2 linked regions of the Elephas maximus indicus genome follow. The protein of the gene in region 1 purifies or fractionates together with the protein of each later gene. This does not show direct contact. Links are inferred from orthologs where the notes say so. Each region holds a gene or a part of one and is shown in the gene's direction. Other genes may lie near its edges.

What was found.
Region 2: the proteins of ARID4A (region 1) and BRMS1 purify together in Homo sapiens (affinity purification with western blotting; 3 studies listed by BioGRID and IntAct, with this or other methods). This does not show direct contact. The link is inferred for Elephas maximus indicus from reciprocal best matches to the Homo sapiens genes ARID4A and BRMS1.

What each region holds. Positions count from the first base shown.
Region 1 is NC_064828.1:70,641,698-70,653,163, forward strand, and holds the start of ARID4A (AT-rich interactive domain-containing protein 4A), read left to right. Parts: upstream 1-6,688; 5' UTR 6,689-6,782; intron 6,783-7,675; exon of another isoform or gene 7,676-7,767; intron 7,768-7,874; 5' UTR 7,875-7,925; coding exon 7,926-7,931; intron 7,932-9,694; coding exon 9,695-9,805; intron 9,806-11,466.
Region 2 is NC_064825.1:129,486,716-129,498,120, reverse strand, and holds the start of BRMS1 (breast cancer metastasis-suppressor 1), read left to right. Parts: upstream 1-5,941; 5' UTR 5,942-6,070; intron 6,071-9,240; 5' UTR 9,241-9,247; coding exon 9,248-9,386; intron 9,387-9,494; coding exon 9,495-9,585; intron 9,586-9,774; coding exon 9,775-9,902; intron 9,903-10,046; coding exon 10,047-10,126; intron 10,127-10,207; coding exon 10,208-10,304; intron 10,305-10,879; coding exon 10,880-10,972; intron 10,973-11,405. Other genes in the region: B4GAT1 (beta-1,4-glucuronyltransferase 1), read left to right, coding at 3,446-4,501, 4,798-4,989. UniProt on the Homo sapiens protein: Transcriptional repressor. Down-regulates transcription activation by NF-kappa-B by promoting the deacetylation of RELA at 'Lys-310'. Promotes HDAC1 binding to promoter regions.

The sequences.
Region 1 (11,466 bases):
AACATACATCTGTTACTCTTTATATTCTTCTAAAATCCAACAAAAACTAAACACATAAAAAGTAGTCCACTCAAGAAGAGGGAATATATTTCACCCCGCAAGTTTTAACAGTTTTAAAACATGCATATGTTTTGTAAGATGCTCTCTTAAAACTACAGTATTTTCTCAATATTGAAAAACTAACCTCTCCTTAATTTAGTTTGAGAATCATCTGGCTTTTCTGTACAATTTATTAATCCACTTTAACTTTTCTTAATAAAAGTTGTACTTTAAAAATCGGAAATAAAAAAGCTCTGATAAAAGCATCTAAGAATGGAATTAAAACAAAATATGAAAACAATATAAGGTAGAGCATAATATCCTGCCCCCAGTTAGAGGCCCCATAAATAATTTGAGAAAAGCAGAACAGAAGCTTACTACTGGAGATTTAAAACTCTAGCTTCCATGTTTAAAACCAATTTTATCTTCCTCACCAACCCGTGGTCTCTCCTGACTTTCCAAACCAGCTAATGGTACTGTCTGTTCCCTATTCTGAAAATCTTAACAGTATTTTTTTTTTTTTTGTCTTCTTTATCCCTAAATTCAGTCAGAGATCCATCAAATCTAGTTAGCTCTTTTTTTTTTTTCTTTTCTTGCTGACCTATTCTTTCCCCTGCCTCCAGGTCCTACTCTAATTTCACCTCACGCTGACACCAATGCAAGAGCGTCTTGTCTCCCCTTTAGCCATACTGGACACTGTTACCAAATAATTTTCCAATAATAAATCTTGTGTATATCATATCCCTGTGTCTATTAAAAAAAACTCAACAAAACTAAAATTGAAAGGAAATCTACATGGAAAAATACCTACAGCAAATTACTACTAAGTATTATATAATAGAACAATTACAGAATAAAACATTAAGACTCTAATAAATAACCGGACAGAAAAAATACACAACGTACAAAAATCAGTTAGTGAAACCACAGCAAAAAAGTTCCATCTCACTAGTTGACAAAGGGGGAAGGTCAACATTTTTTTGTACCTATTAAATTATTAAAAATGATAACAGACTATGTGATGCTGCTGAGGGTGTGGCAAACTAAAATCACAGTGCGGGTGACAGTGTAAATTATTGTAACCCTTTTCAAAAACAAAATGGCAATGCTTTAAGTCATAAAAAGTTCATGTAGTGACCCTTAAGTTGATCCTAAGAAAACAGTCCAAATCATAGAAAATACTTATGCACATAGATAATTGTAGCACAGTACTGAAGGATTAGAAACTGAATAAAATAGACTGACACAGACTATGCAGTCACATTGAATGCTTGTTACAATGTTAAATGAACAGCAAAAAAAAGAAAATTAAGACTTAAAAAAGAACATGCATACAGGTAAGGAAAAAAAGAACTTTACAGAGTTAAAGGTGATTTTTTTTGTTTTTTAAAATTCCATTATTATTTGTGAAGTCTGAAAATAAAACAGAAAATCTTCAATTTCTTCTCATAATCCAGCTTTCAAAGCCTTCTAGAGGTTCCCAAACCTGTATAGAGAACAAGTAGCCCAAATGATTCTGATGTTGCAGGTAACCCTGTAAATGTGGACAGGTTGGCCTCACAACCTTCTCAACCTAATTTTCAGCCAATCATCATCTCCAAACTGACTTACACTGTCCTGGACCCACGTTGCCTTACACAATCCCATTTCTGCCCACCATCTTCCATTCAATTCGAATGCCTTCTTTTCATCTAATTTTCTAGATCGCATCTCACTAACCTCAAAGAACCTTCACTACTAAAGATGATGATTTGTTCTGCCTTCTACAGGAATTTGTCTTTTAAAAATCTCTAGATCTGACTCCGTACTGTACTTTGACAAATCTATTGATCTTTATTAGCCATTATTAAATCTTAAACATCAAACCCATTTGGCCACAAAGTTTCCTTTGGTTACAATCATGTAATTTCCCAAAATATAACTAAATCATTAGAAAAGCAGCTACATTCAATAGTCATCAGTTCGGCTTCTCAACAATATACTGAAGTTTACAGAAATAACTGCACAGTGAAAAAAAATTCTTTTTCACAAGAGTTACATATATATGATAACAGCACGGGGATAGTTAAATAAGATTACATACCAGGAACAGAATTTTCAACACGCATAGCAGATCTAAGTCTTTAAAACTGGAAATCCGAGCTTCATTTTTTCACAAAAACCAGGCTTGTTCTAAAAGACAAAGACTTCTTTTAGAGTATGTTACAGTCCACACTGCAAAACACAGAACTCTGGAGTCTGATTTCAAAATAGGTTTATATAATAGAAGCATTATTAAAAAATGACAATTTTGATTTTGTAGGAAAAATTTAAAATCACCTGTAAAATCATTAGGAAACTTTAAGAACACATATTCTCAGTTTCAGCTCATTCAAATACGTTACATAAAAATAATTCTATCATACTTTATTTTCTTTCATTTATACCATGGTCTAATTCACTGTTCAGGAGTCCCTGGGTGACACCTGACTACTAGCCAAAAGGTTCGCAGTTTGAACCCACGTGAGGTGCCTTGGGAGACAAGCCTGACAATCTGCTTCCAAAAGGTCACAGGCTCGAAAATCCTACGGAGCAGGTCTAATGCGCATACATAGGGTTGCCGTGAGTTAGAATCAACTTGACGGCAGCCAACAACAACTAGCCGTTCTGTTAATATTCATGTGCAAGTACTTCCCAATAAAATATCATAAAATCCTTTAAAAAAAAAAAGGATCGAGAAATTACAAAACATTTCAAGTAACTACTACTTTGATACATTTTTAATGGGTTCTACATTTTATTAGCAGTTGAAACGCAATTCAGCATTAAATCAAGTATTTGGAATGTTAAAAAAGAAAATCTGAAGGTTACGAAAGCACTTGTGCAGTATCGTTAATTCTCAGAAGAAAATTTCTATAAAGAAATACTAGTTTATCTTACATATTTTGCATACAAATATGCATAGACTGATAAGAAATACTTACAGAGCACCTAACAAGTAAGGGAACATAACGATGAAAATAGTTGCTGCCCTCTGGGAGCACTCTCAAAGGGGGAAAGAGTTAAACGATTCCAATTAATGTGTGATCAGAAGAGGCGTGTAAATGGTCCAATGAGGGTACAAAAGCGCTGAGGGAATCCACCTAAGAATGTGGAACTTTAGACAGGGGTACCCAGAAACATAAAGTAATTAAACTCAACTAACCATACCATAAGAGCAATCTGTTTGTTCTTAGTATATTCCAAATACCACTTCTGTTGTAGCAAAATGTTTCACTGTACGAATGTTCAACTATCCTAAAGATCCACTTCAGAAGCACCTAACAGAAAAAACAGTTCAAAAAACATTCCTAACCAATGACATAAAATAACGTGTACTGATGAGAAGCTAGTTTGTTCTGTAAACCATCCAAAGTTCAATTAAAAACCAAAAACGAGGGGAAAAAAAATCACTCCTAAGGCCTAAAAAAAATTCTCAAATTTACATGTAACTTCATGATTGTAATAATTCCATTTGATGGTGAGTCATGAATAAACAGATTCAGGAGTGAAAGCTCCTGACACACCTGAGATTGCCGTGTGTCAGAATCAACTCGACAGTAACTGATCTGGTACCAAATTTTAATTATGAGAAACAGAAATATTTAAAATAAGGAATACAAACCGAGAAACTGCAAAATCCTTTCAGACTGCAGATCTGAACGACAACCTCAAGTAAAAAGTGGTCAGCACAACGCTGTACAGAATGCCAACCTTTATGATTCTCAGGGATACTTGTACTGGATTTATTTTTCTACCTATAATGTTTTATATTTCTGCTTGTGCTCTATTAAATTTTGACTCTCTAAAAAAACAAAAATAGAAAAATAGAAACTTGGGGGAAAAAGCAGTAAAAAGAAGCAGGATAAAAAACATAATTGCAGCAGAAGTAAAAGCTTTCTGATAGACAATTATACAAGTATCAAAAGCCTTAAATGTATAATCCCTTTGGTCTTATATTTCCACTTCTAGGAATTTATTCCAAAGAAATAATTAGGGATGTGAAGGAAGATCTAGATGACTAGAAATTTTAGTCAGTGATGTCAATCATTAGGTAAAATATTTTGCAAAACATATACAAGAACGCTCAGTGACACGTTACTGCTCTTCAGTAAAATTAAGACAGGTTTTATAAATTATCTAGCCTATACAGTTGGACAATATTTCCAATGTGCCCAATGTTTTCCATAAAGAGAAAAAACATGAGTGGCAAAATACACAACCAGACTGTGAAACAAAACAAACCAGAATCCCTCCATAAGTACAGCATAAAACGTGATTACCTTTTGGTAGAGAGAATATAAGAGATGGTTTTCTTCCTTGGGCTTTTTATAATTTCCAAAAGCCTACTCACCTGCATTATTTATATTAGATAATAATTTAAAGTTGGGCAGTGGAATTATAGGTGATTACCCCCTGGGAAATTCAGAAGCATTATATTGCTTTAGCATTTCCTTAAAAAATAAGAAAATCACTTCTAAATACTTACTGACAAGATTGTCTTCATATGCTAAGTTTTTACACAGGAGAAAAAAATCATGAAAATGTTCAGTGTTTCATGATAAAAATATTAAATACTTAAAAATCCAGAGATGAGAACTACCTGAATGGGTAAAGAAACATATAAGGCTGACCTAATTTCCTAATTTTTCAATTTCATCCTAAACTATCACATCAGGCAGCTCATATGAACCCTCTGCCAAACAAAATATCTTTCAACTACTATTCTTCCATACTATCATTCATGGCTCTCCTCTAGTGGTTCACAGAAAACTTTTCCATGTGGGTCTCCCCAATTCTAAAAATTTTTACAGGTATCAGGACTCACCTCAGTAATATCTGGATATTTGTCATTGAGATGTCCTATACTTTCCTCAACACAACTGCCAAAAAGAAACAGTAATAAATTAAGTCACTCAACCATTTTTTAGTCTTGAGCCCCACCAACAAAACAATAGGGTTTAAAACACTGGTATTATGAGGATAATTATAAGATATGCATCTTGGAAACTCTATGGGGCAGTTCTACTCGGTCCTCTAGGATCGCTATGAGTCAGAATCACTCGACAGCACTGGGTTTGGTTTGGGTTTTGGTATCCAGGTAAGTGTGGCCAGTCACTCAACAGAAAATACTGACATACATTTCACGTAATAAATAATCTTCTGAAAAATCACTGCTATGAATAAAAAGGTTCAGGTTTAAATTCCCTTATTGAGTAAAATCAGTCCACGTGGATTATCGAAAATATCTCACATTTTTTATTATCTGAGTCTTTAAAAGTACTTCTTAATGAATACTCTAATGCCACCACTTAAAATCTGTAAGTTTTTGTTTCACTCAACAGAGGAGTTTGCTAAAAGAATACCAATAGCTGCCCTTAACTATTCTTATCAGCGAGGTCCGAATGTATTTCAAGACCCTACAAAATCATTACTGTTTCCTTTCAAAAAGTAGCTCGAGCCTTGTGCAGTGTAGCTTAGCCACTTGTCCAAGGTCACAGAAGCAGCGTCAGTGCTGGCAAGCAAATTCCTCAGCATTTGGATACCCAGAGCATTCCTCAGTTTCCTCACAGCTTTGTCACGCGAGGAGCACGCGGAAAACCCTCTCCCCACGTAGGATGTGTCTGAGTAAGAACCATTCCTTTCCCGTCTTAAGGTGGCCCCCACAGCCAGTGACGCTCAGCTGGAGAATATGTCTATTCTAAACTGAGGAAGGACTGCTGGGACAATAGCAAACTCAAGAAAACCTTCCCAACTCTTGAGATCACCACCCAGAAAGCGACGCGCTCGTCTCCTCCGCCTCTTCATCTGTCGCGCGGCGAGTAAGCCTCGCCCCCTTTCCTCCCACCGCCCCCCCCCCCCGCCCCGAGGCAGAGAGAATTTACTTTGCCATGGCTGTCGTGTGGCCCCTCCACTTCCGGTGCCGCTAAAGCTGCGCCATTCCCCAGTCAGGCAGGCTACCATAGCCTCCAACTGACCTTTTTGAAGGGTCCGTGACTCTTCCGCTATTCACTGAGTGGTGTCCTGGAGGGAACGGTAAATAGGTCCCGCACTAAAATGAACCTACCGGATAGACGCTCCAATCCCTTCTCGCCAGAAACATAAAATGCGATAGAGCTGTGGCCACCGCTGCCGAGACAAAATGGCGCCGAGAAGCCGCCTTAGCGCAGGCGCCTTAGAAAGACTCTGCCCCGCCCCCTTGCGAGCCCCTGGCCGCTGCTCCAGGTTCTGTTTCCATGGGACACTTCGGCGCCAATCCTCGTGCCGAACTGCTCTTCCTGACCCCTCAATTCACCAATCAGTGCTCAGTCAAGCACATCCGGAGTCGTTTTTACCAATCATTTCTCAGGACTTGCTTACTCAATACCTTACCTTCCAATAGCACTGGCCTTCGAAGATGGCCAATCATAAGTGGACGATGTCCTACCTGCTGTTTTTCGCACCAATCCGTGAAGTTTCAGAGCTACATCCAATGAGGACGGCAGCTAGCGAGCTCCAATCCGAAGCTCTTCGGCGTCATGAGCAGCCAATAGGAGTTCGTGTAGGAGCGAGTCTGCTCAACAGCTTGTTATTTGGTGGATTGTGGCAGTAAATCGGGCGAGTGGGGGACCGGGCGCAGGAACTGCTGCCGCGGCCGGTAGAGGTGCTGCCCGGACCGGGGCCCGCGGGGGGCCAGTGGGGGCAGAGCACTGGGGAGCTGACAGCGCGCACTTCACCCGCACTCGGTAGGTGGGGAGAAGGGAAGCGAAGGATACTGAATGGAGGAAGCAGTAGCAGCTGGTGCTCCTGCCCGGGGTCCCGGTGCAGTTGGAAGCTTTGGAGGCGTTGGAGGGGGGTGCCAGGCAAGCGGCGCAGCGAGCACAGGGGAAGGGGCAAGTCGTGGAGCAGTGGCAGCAACTGCAGGAACTGCCGCTGCAGCCGCCTCCTCGACCGCCTCCCCGTGTTCCCCGGGAAAATGGCTGTGGGGCTGGCCGCGCCGCTAAGTTTGCTTCCGCGCGGTGAGGAGCGGGTTGCTCCGGGGAGCCGGCCTCCAGCTCCACGGTGCGTCCTCTCCCGTAGTGTCCGTGGCAGGACCGGAGGGGCTGGGGGCTGGTGCCTCTCTCGAGCTGTACAAAAAGTTGAGGCGGGCGCGGGGAGGAGGCGGTGGCTGCCGCTGTGCGGCTCCCCTCCCCTCCCACACCCTGTCCCGGCCACCTCCCCTCCTCCTCTCCGCCCCCCGAGCCCCCTCCCCCTCGCGTATCTCCTCTCACCTCTCCGGGCTTCGGGCTGAAGGCCGCGGCCCCTGCCACTTCGGGGTGAAGAAGCGCTTCGGTTTCCTGACATGGTGCAGAGTGAAGGAAGGAGAGCAATGGCGCCGTGACACTCCGTTGCCTCCACCGCGGGCCCGGGGCGGGCCGAGGGGCCCGAGCGGCGGAGGCGGGTCGCGGGCCTAAGTCGAGAGTATCCGGGGGGCGGCTGAGAAAAGGCTCGGCGACCTTCCGTCTGGTGGGCTGTGGGAACCCGAAACGCGCACTGCCCTTCTCCAGCGCGACCCGTCCCGGGGCTCCGAGTTCAGCATTCCCAGTCAAAGTGGCGAGCGAGGCGGGGGCGCGGTGGGCCGCTGACGAACTCCGGGGCGGAACGGGCTGCCCTTTGGCGCCTCGAGGGTTCTTGCTGCCCCTCTGCCCCTGCGTCCTGGCCGCCCTCCGAGGGGATCTTATCCCTTTGCTGGTGAGGCTTCTGCCCCTCCCCGCTGGCGTTTGTTTACTTTCTTTCCCTGGGTCGCTCCCCGCTTTTGGCTGACTCTGTGCCTGTCTTTCCCCTCCCCATGATTCTAGCGACAGTGAAGATAGCTCGTTGAGCTGGAACCCCACAGATCACCAATAAAAATGAAGGTAAGTAGAATCAGTGCTACTCTGGATCTCGAGATGTCCCTGGCCACTGCCTGTCGTGAGGCTCCTGCCGTGGAATGTCATTTTTTTTGGTTCTCAAAATTGATTACTAAGCAGCACTTAATGAAAATGAGGACGTGTTGAATGGCTGAGAAATGATCAGTGTATCTAAATGCAGACGGTTCAGCCCCTTTCTGAAGCAGTTAGCGCTTTGGAAAGGCTGGTGCAACCTTTCAATTGTCCATTGGGCTAGTATTTTTAAACACTTCCTGTGTTGGCAGCAACCGTCGCAGAAGTAAAGCTTTTGTCCTGCTTTGGTGCTTTGGGGGATTTTTTGAAAATTTTTTTTCTTCTGTGCCAATGCAATTTGCTAAGAGAAAGAATATGGGGATTGAGTAAGGGGTATATGTCTTCTGGGGATATAGCGAAATTCCGGGCTAAAATATTTAAGTTGTACTAAAACTAATAATAGTTTTACTCCAATTTTCATAGTAAATTTTTTTTTTAAATATATCCAACCTAAAAAAAAAAATTCTTCGGAAGACAACTAATCTTGCAAACATCAGCATATGATATTTAAAGGGGAAGGTATCCTAACATTCTGGAGCGCTGTGGCACTCAATGTTTCAGTTTGGGTATTTTTTTGTGGAAAGCATTCCTCTTCATTTTGCATTCTTTGTAAATCCATTACCTTTAAAAGGTACCAGATTCCCGACTCGTTTACTGTTTCAGTGTATTAAGCTCTGAAACGTGTATGTGGCATTTTCCAAAACTTTCTTTTTCTTTCCTATCTTCTTGCACTAAGTGACACATCTAACCTTCTTTAATGTTACTAGGAAAAATAAAAAGCCTTTTTTTATTTTTTAAACTTAATCTGTCTCTAAAGTGTACACTGTTACCTTTGCACTCAGCAATGTTGAATTTGGAACTTAGCTTTAGGAAAAAATAGGCAAAATGACAGATTGAGATAGCAATCATTTTATTATTGTCAAGATCAAAATTAATGGTAAAATAAAATTTCTTGCATCGTTCAATGTATCATTCTAATCATGGCCATTAGACATTTCTTAGCGAAGCTCGTTTTTTATACCAGGATTACCAGTTCTGTAAGCTAGGTAGGGCTACAGTCTTGAGACATCAGTTCCCATCTCTGCGTTCATTAGCTGTATTTAGACTTAAACTTTTTATATGCCCCTTTCAACCAAAAAATTTTCCGAATAATAATCTCCTTGTCAGGATGGTTGTCTTCATTTCTTATATGTATAGTTACACTGTATCTAAGGTACAGGCTTTATGTAGCTATGTTAATAAACCTTTAATTGCATATTGTTAGTATTAATTTTAATAGCAATATTTCTTTTAATTTGAAGACAACATTTTGAGGAGACCATAAATGAATGGTTTAAAATTTTATGGGAAATGTCAAATGAATATAGTTTTCCTCTTTTTTATTGTTTTTCTGTATTTTATATAAATTGTAGAACTGTTGAACCATTTTATATCTATAAAAAATTATTGTATTTTCTTACTGATACTTTGTGATTACAACTATAAAACATCTTCTATTAGATAAGGACATCCAGTGTATAAAGAGCTATTTAATAAAATGTTGGCTTTAAGGGTATTTTTCTAATTATTAATGATATTAATAAGCAAATAATTTTAGCATTCCTTTCATTTTAAATACAGAACCTTTAAACGAGTCTTGAAGCTGAAGTAGGAAAAATTTTTATTTTTATTTTTAAATTTTATGATCCTTTCATCAGGCGGCGGATGAGCCTGCCTACCTGACAGTGGGAACTGATGTCAGTGCCAAGTACCGAGGTGCCTTCTGTGAGGCAAAGATTAAGACTGTGAAGAGGCTGGTAAAAGTTAAGGTAATCTTTTTTTTTTTTTTAATGTAACAGTTTTATTAACTCTGGACTGAAGAGAGTTGAGGAGGGGGAGACTACGAATCAACATATTTTATTTATTGAATTATTACTGTGTAAATGCACTGTTATGTACTGAACTTTAGAAAAGGCACATTATGACTTGAGAAATAAAGAACTCAAAATGAGAGATTATTTCAAAATGTTTTTACCAAAATACCCTGCCCATACTTCCTAGTATTTAGATCTTCCCTATTCATGGCAGTGTACTTACTTATAGTCTTGTTTTCTCCTGTTTGATGTTTAGGTAGAGACGATTTCAGTGGTTAGGAAAAACAAGACAGTGGAAATTGTTTTCAAAAGATTGTCAAAAATGAATCAAGTCTAGTCTATGACTAGAGAAAAGTTAACACATTCTCCCTGTAAAAGATTCAGAAATATGGAAAAAGAACAGGAATAACATCCATAGTTTATGTCTCAGAAATATTATCGTAAACATTATTGTGCTTATTTATGATAATTTTCATATATAAATATATATTAAGTAATCTTTGTTATGTAACTTATAGAAGTAAGCAATGCTTATTATAAACATTTTTAACGCTACGAAGCTATGTAATATAGCTTATGAAAGTCCTCCTTTCTACCACTCCCAATAGATTTGGCTTGGTCCTCCAGATTTTTTACCATGGCTCTCATAAAGTTATTATTATTATTACTGGATTACTTGGAGTTTTGCAGTTTGCTTTTCCCACTTAACACATTTGATGATTTCCTGCCGGAAAGAAGTGCTGTGAAAGGAGGAAATGTCTGACTTGCTGTATGCCCAGTAGAGCAGTACCTGGTACATAGTGGGCATTCAGAATTTGTCAAGTGAGTGAATGAACTAGAGGAGTGTGATTTGTGTGGTAGATAAATAGATTTATCTATGATTAGTATAAAATTTCTGTTTAAACTTTGGTCTGCTTATGAAACTTCTTTCAGGGTTAAGATGTCACATGGCATTCATTTTTTTCCTGTGATTTCTTTTTACTCTTACAGAGCATTTTTATATAGCCTTTTTACTATGTTAGCTATACAGGATTTGTTTACTAAGTATTCGGGATTATTTGAAGCTTATAACTTTTTGTTAGTATTGTGTTTCTTAATGTTTATTCATTTTTTAATTTTAAATCAATACTACGATTGTTGGAGGAGGTCTTATAATACATGTATTACCTAGAATTTGAATTTTCTTATTTGGGTAATTGCTCTATTATGGTTGCTTACTCTGTATATCTGGCAGGAGCTGTAGTAGAAAAGAGCATTTGTTTGTAAGTGAATTACATACTATGGTTATTATTCTGGTGTACTTTACAAAGGATAAAAGAGTTCTGGTTTTATTTTCCTTGCATATAGGCAGTAGAGCTTGATACTGTTTTTTGATGTACTTGGTGACAAATCAGAACCTTTTATGACTTGTCGGTAAAGAGCAGTAAAGGCAGTTTTAAGCGTTTACATAATCCTTACAGATTATAAGTTTTCAATAGTTTCTTCATTCATTCAGCAAACATTATAGGTGCTTATAATATGCATTGAAGCTTGCTAACTGCTGGGGATATAGTAATGAAGGGTGGCTCCAGTGCTCTAGAAGCTCAGTTAATGAGACAGTAAACATAAGTACAAGA
Region 2 (11,405 bases), on another chromosome or scaffold:
GGCACCTAACACCAACAAAAACAATTTCATGCTATGTGAATTTTACCTCAAATTTTTAAAAAAGATATTATAAAACAAAAAGAGAGAAAGAAGGAGAGAGACTACTTATCCTGCTTAAGTCCATGCAAAGTCAGATTCCAACTTCAGAGCCCATACTCTGCCTGCCCTGCTGCCAAGAAAAGTCTCTCCAGAGACCCCAGGGTGTCTTAAGGGAAGTCAAGCATTAACTTGTTTGGTTCAGACGAGAATTCAGTCCTTCCCCCACTTGAAGACAGAGGACTCCCTCCAGACTGAGGTGGTTCTGAAGGTTTTAGAGGGTTAGGAGCTCCAGAGCCAGGCTATGAGGGCCATGTTGCATGTAGAGAGATTGAGGAGGAAGACAGCATTATGGGAGGAGGGAGAAGAGCATGGGGCAGTGTTAAGGGTTGAATTGTGTCCTCCAAAAACGTGTGTTGGAATCCATGTGGAAAGGAGCCCTGGTGATGCAACGGTTAAGCACTCTGCTGCTAACCCAAAGGTTGGTGGTTCAAACTCACCCAGTGGCTGCCCAGGAAAAAGGCCTGGTGATCTGCTCCATAAAGGCTTACAACCAAGAAAACCCTCTGGGACACTTCTACTCTGTCACACAAGGTCACTATGAGTCGAAAATCTACTGGATGACATCCAACAACAACATCCCAGGGGATGTAATCTCATTTGACAGTAGGGTTTCTTTGTTATGTTAATGGGGTCATACCATTTTTAGGGTGTTTCTTAAGCCAATCATTTTTGGCATATGAAAGAAACAGATTAGGCACAGAAGACAGCAAGTAGAGGTGGGAAGATAGATGTCACATCACAAGAACAACAAGCAACTGTGGAGCAGAGGCTGAAAAGAGACAAGGACCTTCCACCGGAGGTGACAGAGAGAGAAGGCCTTCCCCAACAGCCGGCACCCTGAATTTGGACTTCTAGCCTCCTAAACTGTGAGAAATAAATTTTTGTTTCTTAAAGCCACCCATTTGTGGTATTTCTGTTATAGCAGCACCAGATAACTAAGACAGGTAGGTCCACTGTGAGGTCACGAGTTGAGACTGACTCGAAGACACCTAAGAACAACAAAGCCCTTGACCTGGGCAGGCATATAATAGGATCTCAGGAAATCACGAAGGCGCCCTGGTGGTGCAGTGGTTAAGCCCTCAGCTGCTAATCAAAAGATTGGCAGTCTGAACCCACCAGCTGCTCCGAGGGAGGAAGATGTGGCAGTCTGCTTCCGTGAAGATTACAGCCTTGGAAATCCTATGGGACAGCTCTACCCTGTCCTATAGGTTCACTATGAGTTGGAATCGACTCAACAGCAATGTGTTTGGTTTTTGTTTTTTTTGGGCGGGGGGCGGCTCAGGAAACCTCAGCTCATTATCCTTCACCTTGGTGAAAGTCAAGTGTCTGGGAAACTGTCTTCTACCCCTGGTGGTCCTACAGCTAAGTGCTCCTTTGCTAATCGAGAGGGGGGATGCCTGGGAAAATCTTATCCATCAAGGCAGTAAATGGGTATTGAGTGCTACCATGAAACACAAATGCTCAAGGGTCCAGGCAGACAGGGAAGTGCCAGGCTTGAGAATTTGGTAAGGAAAAGACTGTTTACAAAGGTGGAGCTCTGGACAATTGTCACCTTGCAGAACTGCAGGCCTGGCATTGCCAGATCTTCCAGGATTTTAAATCCAGAAGTTGGAAATGTGCATTTTCCGTGAAATCTTCTGACTCCCGAAAGTTAACAACTAATGTGATTCAAACTGTTATTTTTAAACACTGATCAGGCCAAAGAAAACCCATATGGGCACCACATCCAGCCCCTGAATCTCCAGTGTGCAAGGCCTGTGCTGGCAAGATCTGTGCTCACCTTTCTCCTCTCTCTTGCCACAGGTACCAGTGAAAACTCTCAAGGACAGGAGCTGTCCCATCTCAGGTGCCTAACACAGCCCCTGGCAGGGAGCAGATGTCAAGTAGGTATTATCTCACTGGGCTGCAGAATATAGGTCTCCTGGCCACTCCTCATCTCGACAATCTTCACTGACTCCCTGCTGCCTGTGGAATAGCTGGCAAACACCTCGTACTGATATTTCAGGCCCTCCCCCGTCTGTTCCAATGCACCTTCTGAAGATTCACAGCCCTTTGTCCTATATGGGAGCCCTGGCTCGGGCCGCAAAGGCCATGTGTCTAGTACATAATTATTTACATAATCGATTTGGCCTTTCAGGTCAGACCCTTCCCCACAGCCTCTTCTCTTCTAAAGATTCCATGTATCAATGAATCCACAAACGTTTATTATAGGATTTCTGGGAGAAGGGAGAGGAGACGGAGGAGTAGGCGGAATCAGTAGGCGACATAGAGTAATAATTTAAATGATCAAATATCCTTCCTAGCAAACTTCCACTCCTTCAGACAGGAGGGAACTTCTCCAATTCCTGCAGATAACACACTGAGCCTCAAGTTAGCATCGGCCAGAATCCTGGTTCTGTTCTTCTAAGTGCCACCAACTTCCGGAACCTCTTTCTAGAGAGAAAAAAAATCACACCTTTGACCGCTCCCCAGTAGGTTCAGAGACCTGGAGTGGGCAGACGCGGGAGCAGAAGTGGGAGACGCACGGCCGGCCAACAAAGAGGAGAGGGAGCCCCAGGGTAGCGCCAAGCGCAGCTCAACTCTTTTCAACTTCCTGCTTTAGACTGGTAAGATGTAGAAAATTAAGAATCACGTCTTTCGTAAAACGCGACCGACGAGGATGGGATTCGAACCCACGCGTGCAAAGCACAATGGATTAGCAGTCCATCGCCTTAACCACTCGGCCACCTCGTCCCCTACAGTGTGGCTCTCTCCACATTCTCTTATCACCCTTCTTCTCCGCGTTCTCCGAGTCCCTTCTACCCATTCTCCAGCGTAGACCCCTTAGGCTATCTACGATAAGGAGACACGGCAGAAATAAACGTTTTTTTTTGTTTTTTTTTTTCCTTTCCGCCCGCCGCAGCCGGGAATCCGGGCCATCCCTCACCAAGCTGCTGCAGAACTCTGCCACGGTTTCCCCTCCCTGACTCGGGGGCGAGCCCATCGAGGTTTCAGGACGCGCTGGGTTCAGGGGTCGCGCACGGTGGGGAGTGAGGGGGCGCGTGTCCCGGAGGACCCCTGGCGGGCCGGGAGGCGGTGGGGCGGCCGGAGCGGCAGGGGCGGCAGCAGTGGCACCGCGATCAGGAAGACTCAGTTTGCAAAGCGCGCGGACGCGGTGGCTCCTCCTCCGTCTCCGGGGCGGGCGCGCGGCCGAGGCCCGGCTGTGGGCGGTGGGCGGGGCTGCCAGGCTCGGCTGGACTCGGTTCGCCTCGGCTGCGCTCGGCACGCTGCAGTAAATCCCGGCTCCCCGCGGCCGGCAGACGCTGCGGTCGGTGGTCCCTGCTACGCACTCTGAGCCCCGAGAGCCATGCAGATGCCCTACGCCATCCGGTGCGCCTTCTACCAGCTGCTTCTGGCCGCCCTCATGCTCGTGGCGATGCTGCAGCTGCTCTACCTGTCGCTGCTGTCTGGGCTGCACGGACAGGAGGAACAAGACCAGTATTTCGAGTTCTTCCCCCCGTCCCCGAGGTCCGTGGACCAGGTCAAGGCGCAGCTCCGCACCGCGCTGGCTTCGGGAGGCGTCCTGGACGCCAGCGGTGACTACCGCATCTACAGGAGCCTGCTGAAGACCACCATGGATCCCAACGATGTGATCCTGGCCACGCACGCCAGCGTGGACAACCTGCTGCACCTGTCCGGCCTCCTGGAGCGCTGGGAGGGCCCTATGTCTGTGTCGGTGTTCGCGGCCACCAAGGAGGAGGCGCAGCTGGCCACGGTGCTGGCTTATGCGCTGAGCAGCCACTGCCCCGACATGCGCTCCAGGGTCGCCATGCACCTGGTGTGTCCCTCGCGCTACGAGGCCGCCGTGCCCGATCCCCGGGAGCCCGGGGAGTTTGCCCTTCTGCGCTCCTGCCAGGAGGTCTTTGACAAGCTAGCCAGGGTGGCCCAACCCGGGATCAATTACGCGCTGGGCACCAACGTCTCCTACCCCAATAACCTGCTGAGAAATCTGGCTCGCGAGGGGGCCAACTACGCTCTGGTGATCGACGTGGACATGGTGCCCAGCGAGGGGCTGTGGAGAGGCCTACGGGAGCTGCTGGATCAGAGCAGACAGTGGGCGGGCACGGCGCTGGTGGTGCCTGCCTTCGAGATCCGTCGAGCCCGCCGCATGCCGGTCAGTAAGACGGAGCTGGTGCAGCTCTACCAGGTGGGCGAGGTGCGCCCCTTCTATTATGGGCTGTGCACGCCCTGCCAGGCGCCCACCAACTACTCCCGCTGGGTCAACTTGCCAGAAGAGAGCCTGCTGAGGCCTTCCTACGTGGTGCCCTGGCAGGACCCCTGGGAGCCATTCTATGTGGCTGGAGGCAAGGTGCCCCCCTTTGACGAGCGCTTTCGGCAGTACGGCTTCAATCGCATCAGTCAGGTGCCCATAAGGGGAAGGCAGGGGAGGGGGGGTTGGGGAGGGGGAGACGGAGGAGGTGGAGGGGAGGAGGGGGGAAAAGGGATGGGCGAGGGGAGTAGGTCAGGGAGATACGAGGAGTGGCCCAGTGTGGAACTGAGGCAGGGAGGCCGGGTAAGATCCCAGGTCAGGAAATGGTTGGGTGGTGTGGAAAATCCAGATGCTTCCAGAAGGTTGGGGTGCTAGAGTCTGGCTTTAGGGGTGTCGATCTGGGCCCCAGGAACGTCTCTCACTTTGCTGACCTGTCTCTCACTCCACAGGCCTGTGAGCTGCACATGGCAGGGTTCAATTTCGAGGTTTTGAACGAAGGTTTCTTAGTTCATAAGGGCTTCAAGGAAGCTTTGAAGTTCCATCCCCAAAAGGAGGCTGAAAATCAGCGCAATAAGGTCCTGTACCGCCAGTTCAGACAGGAGTTGAAGACCAAGTACCCCAACTCCCCACGCCGCTGCTGAGCCCTTCCTTCCCCCGGTCTGAGAAGTTTCAGCCTCCTGACTCCTCGGGCCGCCCCTTAGGCCTGACTGGGGTAAGAAACGTCACTCCACTTTGCAGAGGGAGCTGTGGTGTTGCAACACTGGACTTGAATATGGGGTGCTAGGATCAAGTCCTAGCTTTACCACTAACTAGCTGTGTGGCCTTGAGCAAATCCCTTTACCTCTCTGAGCCTCAGTTACTCTGTCTGTAAAAAGGGAGGTGAGAATGCCTACCTCACAGAACTGTTGGGAGGCTCAGATGAGCTGTCTATGAAAACATTCTGTAAGCTTCGTACAAATGTGAAGTATTATTAATATTATTACAGTATTATTATTGTTGTTATCACTATTGTTATTAACAACCGGGGGTGTGTGAGTGGTAGGAAAGCAAAAAATGTGAATGGGACAGGGTTGAAAGTTCAGAGACATGGGGGTACTTAACGACTGGGGCTTTCTGGAAAGAAATCAGATGAAGGTGTGGAATTTGGTTCTTAGCTTTTGGGCAGAAGCCTTAACAACTCCAGCGCCTCCACCCTTGGGGGCTCTGAAGGAGGGAAGGGTCTGAAGGCTTGATGGCGATAATCCGAAAAAATCTGTACCCTCGAATAGGCTGGTGCTGGGTATTTGCCTACTGATGACAACGTGTAAATAAATGAGTGTTCACACCCACAGCTGGTTCCGTTTCTCTCCGAAGCTGGAGGGAGGGGGGCCCTGGTTTCAGCCCTTGGACGCCGGGGGCGGTTGCTGCGCACCGAAGGGCGTGGGCAGCGAAGCGAGGAAACCACGGGGGCCTTTGCCGCAGGCCGAAGCCTAATGGGAACCTCCACCGGTTGCCATGGAGACCGGCCCGCGGTATCCCAGCATGCCTCTCCCCAGCCATCCAATTGTGAGCTCTCCGGCGGGCGCCCCGAGATGACGCACACGGAAGCGCGGCGAGGCCCCGCCTCCCTGAAAAGAGGGACCTGCGCAGCGCTTCCGGGAGCCTGGCGCCGCGGCAGGTACCGGCACCCTTGGGCGCCTCTCAGGGAGACCCGGACTTGAGGCCAGGGAGCCCCCCCCCGCGGTGCGTATCGCCCCCCCCAGCCGCTGGTTGGGTCTCTCTGGGCTAGTCGGGCGCGTCCTGCCCAACCTTCTTCTCGGGGCAGAAGCGGAGACTTAACGGGCTGGACGCGTGCGGGGCCGCGGGGCCGCGGGGCCGAAGCCGGCTGCGGGGGAGCCCGCGATTCTCCCGCCCGCGCCGGTGCAACCGGAGATGAGACGAGGCCGAGCCTCCTGGGCGCGGCGAAAGGGGCCAAAGTGGGGAGGGGCCCGCCTTCCAGGGAGGCTGCCTTCCTGGAGTTCAGAGTCGGAGAAGATAGATGGCATGCCCACCGCACTTCTCAGTTTGCTTTTCCATCCCTTAACCCTTGCCAGCTTTACAACAGTCAGAGCAGGAACGGTTATCCCCGTTTTGCACACACGTAAGAAGAGGAAGTTGTGACTTAATTTACTGCTCAGTAAAATTAGAGTTAGCTGGAGGAGACACACATACACACACCCCCTCTTTTTCTGATCCGGAAAGCCTTCTGGAAGCTGTAGGACTTAGGCTGAGACTTACGGTGAAGAGGAATTGCAGATGGAGGGAACTGCAGGAACTGAAAGAGCCCTGGTGGCGCAGTGAGACTTGGAAGTGGGAAAGATGAGAGGCTGGTTTGGAGACCCGAGAAGTGGAGGAATGAACCTTCATGTCTGCTAAGGTTTTCAGGTTCGAATCCATGGTGAAATCATTGAGGAATGTGACTAAACTCTCCCCTAGGCCAGGCATTTGCCACAACTTGAATAGGTGTCAACCAGAGTTAACAGACACTTTGGGTTTGATTTCACTGCAAGGACCTGAAGCTACCAAGAAGTAAAAACCAACCTTTGACCTGCAAGAGTTTGTTTTGTTTACTTATATTTCCCAGTCCTTTATCAAGGGAGCCAGTACTGGGCTAGTTGACTAAGATGTGTTTGTAGCCCCTGCCCTGGGGAGGCACACAGAGTGGCTGGGGAGACAGAAGGAAAATGAGCAAACAGAAGGGAGATGCAAAGAAGGCTTCGTGGAGGGAGTGGAGTCTACACCAATCTAAAGGGCTGCAGAGCAGTGGCCAGCGAAGCTAGAAGAGGAGCTTAGTAAAGTAGAAGCCCCCAGGAGGCAGTGAGATTCTCTGCTGGAAGGGTGGTTAAATCCCCCCCTTAGGGGCTCTCTTGGCAGGATTAGACACTGTTGTTGGCCACTTCTTCTAAAATGTTCTCTGGCCATAGCTTTGGGGTTTTTCTTTTCTGCCTCTCCCTAATTTCCTTCTCCTTTGCGGGAGTCTCCTCAGCAGCCCTTTGGTGACCCTGGGAGTTTCATCATGGACCCCTTCTCCACACTTTCTGCTTTGGTGCCATACCTTCTCCCATGGCCTGAACAACTCACTCTATGATAGTGACCAGATCTCTGTACGGCCCAGATTTCTCTCTGAGGCTTAGACCCAGGTCCCCAACCCTCCCCCACTCCCTTCTCTCATTTCTGTATCCTTACACATGCTACTCGCTCTACCTGGAATGTTCCCTCCTGTGCTAGTCAGTTCATCCATCTGCTGTGTCTCCCCTGGCAGCCCTCACTGCTGCCCCAAGCTCCTGGTCTTAGAGGCCCCTCCCCTGTGCCCCCAGGCTTAACTCTTCTCGCACCGTGGTAGTGGTCTGCTGCTTTGCCTCTTCTCCCAGGAACGTGTAAGTTCCTGGAGATAAATACTGCCTGCCTGCCCCAGGAATTCCCCTGTACCTGCCATAGTGCCTGGCAGCACCTAGCATATATTAAGTGTTCAATAAATATTCAGTGAGGGAATACAAGGACTGCTTGGCTGTGTCTGATGTTGCTGAGAAATCAATTAAGATAGCCCCCAAAAATACTGGCAGTAGCCACAAGGAGGTTGTCGGTTAACTCAGTGGGATCCGTTTCAGCAGAGAGTGATGGGTGCAGGACCAGATGGGAGCAAATGGAAGGTGAGGAAGCAGGAAGGGCAAGTGTATACAAGGCCTTGAAAGTGGAGCTGTGGCGTGGAAAGCAGTGAAGCGGAATAGGGTGAGGTTTGGTTTGTGTTTTCGCATTTTCTTAATGGTGGAAAACACCTGAGCACATCTACGGTTTCATGGGAAGGAGCCTGCCAAGGAGAGTTGAAGCTACAGAAGAGAGGGGAGTACTGATGATGTGGGGTCCCAGAGGAAGCAGAAAATGAGAAGTGAGAGAAGGGATGGGGGGAGGGAAGGGGACCTGGGTCTAAGCCCCGGTGAAATCGCCCGCACAGAGATCTGGTCACCATCACAGGGCGAGTTGTTCAGGCCATGGAAGAGGGTGCAAACACCAAGGCAGACAGTGTGGAGTGAGAAGGGGTACATGCTGGAACTCCCAGCGTCACCAAAGGGGCTGCTGAGATACAGCCTTTGAGGAGATCTCTGCAAAGGAGAAGGAAATAACTGAGCAGAGCACGAAGACAGAGAAATGTAGAAAGCTATCAGGAAGAGAAGAGGAGTGCACGATGGGCAGAGGAGGAGGGAGAACGTGGTGTCTTTGAGGACTCACCAGTGCATGGTTGGGGCCAAGGAGCTGGGTGGGTGGTTTAGTCCAGTCTGGGAAGGGCCTTGAAAGCCTCCACTAGAAGTTTAAGCCGAGTCCCATAGGCAGGGGGAGCCCTCGGGGGCTTCTGAAAGGGAAAGAGCGCTCACGCAGAGCCCTGCTGGTTCCTGGCCTCTTGAAGAACTTACCTCGTCCTCATACCACTTCCACAGGGAGGTCACAGGCAGAGCAACTGTGGATCCTCAGGGCCACACTTACTGTTGTACCTGCAGTGTTTTCCACCTCCCTATGCCTGCTCTCATAGTGCCATCACAGCCCACCCAGCCTTTTCTGGGGGTGGGACGTTTGGGTGGTAACGCCTCGTGTCGTTGGCCTTTCCCGTTCTGTGAACTGGTGCTTGGCCAGTTCGCCCAGGATTGGGATCGCCAACGGGGTCAGAGGGCATGAGCGTTTCCATGGCTCCCACGCTCCTGGGGGAGATGTGCACCCGGAGCCATTTGCTCCCTTTCACCCAGCATGCGTCAGGGTGGCGAGGACAGTCACCTCCCTGCTGTCCCCTCTAATTGAGGGTCAGGCTGGGCTCGACTCCCTGCTCGGCCACTCAGCTCTGTACCATGGCCAGTGTTGAGTGATGGCTCCACCTGTTCTCCCAGAGCACAAATGCCCGTCCAGCCCCCAAGCAAGGACACAGAAGAGATGGAAGCAGAGGGCGACTCAGCGGCCGAGATGAACGGGGAGGAGGAAGAGAGTGAGGAGGAACGGAGTGGCAGTCAGACAGAGTCTGAGGAGGAGAGCTCCGGTGAGTGTACACACACATGTGCACACACACTTGTACACACCAATGCGCACGCACACGTGGTACCCGCCCGCTCCTCGTCAGAGGCCCTGACTGGCCTCTTGTCCCCAGAGATGGATGATGAGGACTATGAGCGACGTCGCAGCGAGTGCGTCAGTGAGATGCTAGACCTGGAGAAGCAGTTCTCGGAGCTGAAGGAGAAGTGAGCGGGCACACCTAGGGCTGGTCTTCACGGTCCTGGGGGAGGAGGCAGTAGGCTGGGTGTTGGCGGGCGGCTGAGGTCCAGAGTGAGTGAGCACCTGACCAGGGCCTGCCACGGAGCTGGGGCCCTGCGTGTATCTGCCCAAGAGCACAACGGACCGACAAGTTGGGGCTGCCTTTCACCTCCCAGGTTGTTTAGGGAGCGACTGAGCCAGCTGCGGTGGCGGCTGGAGGAAGTGGGAGCTGAGAGAGCCCCCGAGTACACGGAGCCTCTGGGGGGGCTGCAACGGAGCCTCAAGATTCGCATTCAGGTGGCAGGTGTGTGGGCTGTCCCGTGTCCTGGGGTCAGGCCCCAGTCACCCCTTGTGTCCCCCTCCTCATCCCTGCCTGCCCTGTACTCCCAGCCCTCCTCGGATACCTCAACCGCTGCCTTAGGGGGGCCCCCTTCTCCCTCTTCCACAGGCATCTACAAGGGCTTCTGTCTGGACGTGATCAGGAATAAGTATGAGTGTGAGCTGCAGGGAGCCAAGCAGCACCTGGAGGTGAGGGGCTGGGCGCCTGCAGAGGGGTGTGGGCAGGGCCTGAGGGGCCCCACCCGACTGAGCTGCTCCGGCCTCCTTCAGAGCGAGAAGCTGCTGCTGTACGACACCCTGCAGGGGGAGCTGCAGGAGCGGATCCAGAGGCTGGAAGAGGACCGCCAGAGCCTGGACATCAGCTCGGGTGAGGCGCTCTGCCAGTGCCCAGCACTCCTCTGCACGTAGCTGCCCTGACTGCACATGGGTGCAGTCATTGGCCCTGCTCCTTGAGGTCGCCAAGAGGACTGACTGAGAGCAGGCATGGAAGGGCCCAGCCCAGGGCCAGGCATGCAGTGAGGGGTTGGGCAGAGTGGGCCCCATGCCCTCCTGTCCCTGCTCTCTCCCCAGAACGGGAGGTGCGGGCCGGTACGCCCACATATGGTCACCACAGTCCGCTCCGTGTCCACAGCACCTATGTTCCTTCTTCATGTCAGTTGCTCTGCCAAGAGGCTACTGTGGAGTCCTCAGGAGGCAGCAGCTGTTATCATCACCCTGTCATCCCCCCCATCACCCTCCCCCATCTGCTGAACAAAGGAAGCACCTGGGGCTCACAGCAGTGCAGTGCCCTTTCCCATGGTGCACAGCTGTGCAGTCCGGACCTGAACTCAGGCTTCCCAGCTCAGCCCAGAGTTCTTTGCCCCAGGGGAGGGGAGGACAAAGGCAGTGAGGGTGGGGGGCACCCTTGAGGGCTGGCACCCTGACCCTGCCTCTGGGGCACAGAGTGGTGGGATGAGAAACTGCACGCCAGAGGCAGCTCCAGGACCTGGGACTCCCTGCCACCCAGCAAGAGGAAGAAGGCACCGCTTGTCTCCGGTATCCTTCCAGCCACGGGGGCCTGAAGCTGGGGGGGGCAGCCAGGGCCAGCTCCAGACCCGGGGACACGGAGGACAGAGGACCAACACGTTCATGGTCGTTTGGTGTCATGTGATCATGTCCAGGCAAACTCAGCTGTCAGAGATTTATTGTGGCGTCCCAGGTCTCCCGGGGAAACCGTGGTGGGGAAGTGGTTAAGAGCTGTGGCTGCTAACCAAAAGGTTGGCAGTTTGAATCCACCGGGCGCTCTTTGGAAACCCTGTGGGGCAGTTCTACTCTGTCGTATACGGTCGCTATGAGTCAGAATTGAGTTTGGATTTTGGGGTCTCCTGGGCCCTGTGGACTGTAGAGAAAGAGAAACGTCAGTCTTGACTCCCCAGGACTTCCTGAGTGAGTTTGGCCTTTGGTCCCCGTCTGGGTTTCCCACGATGTC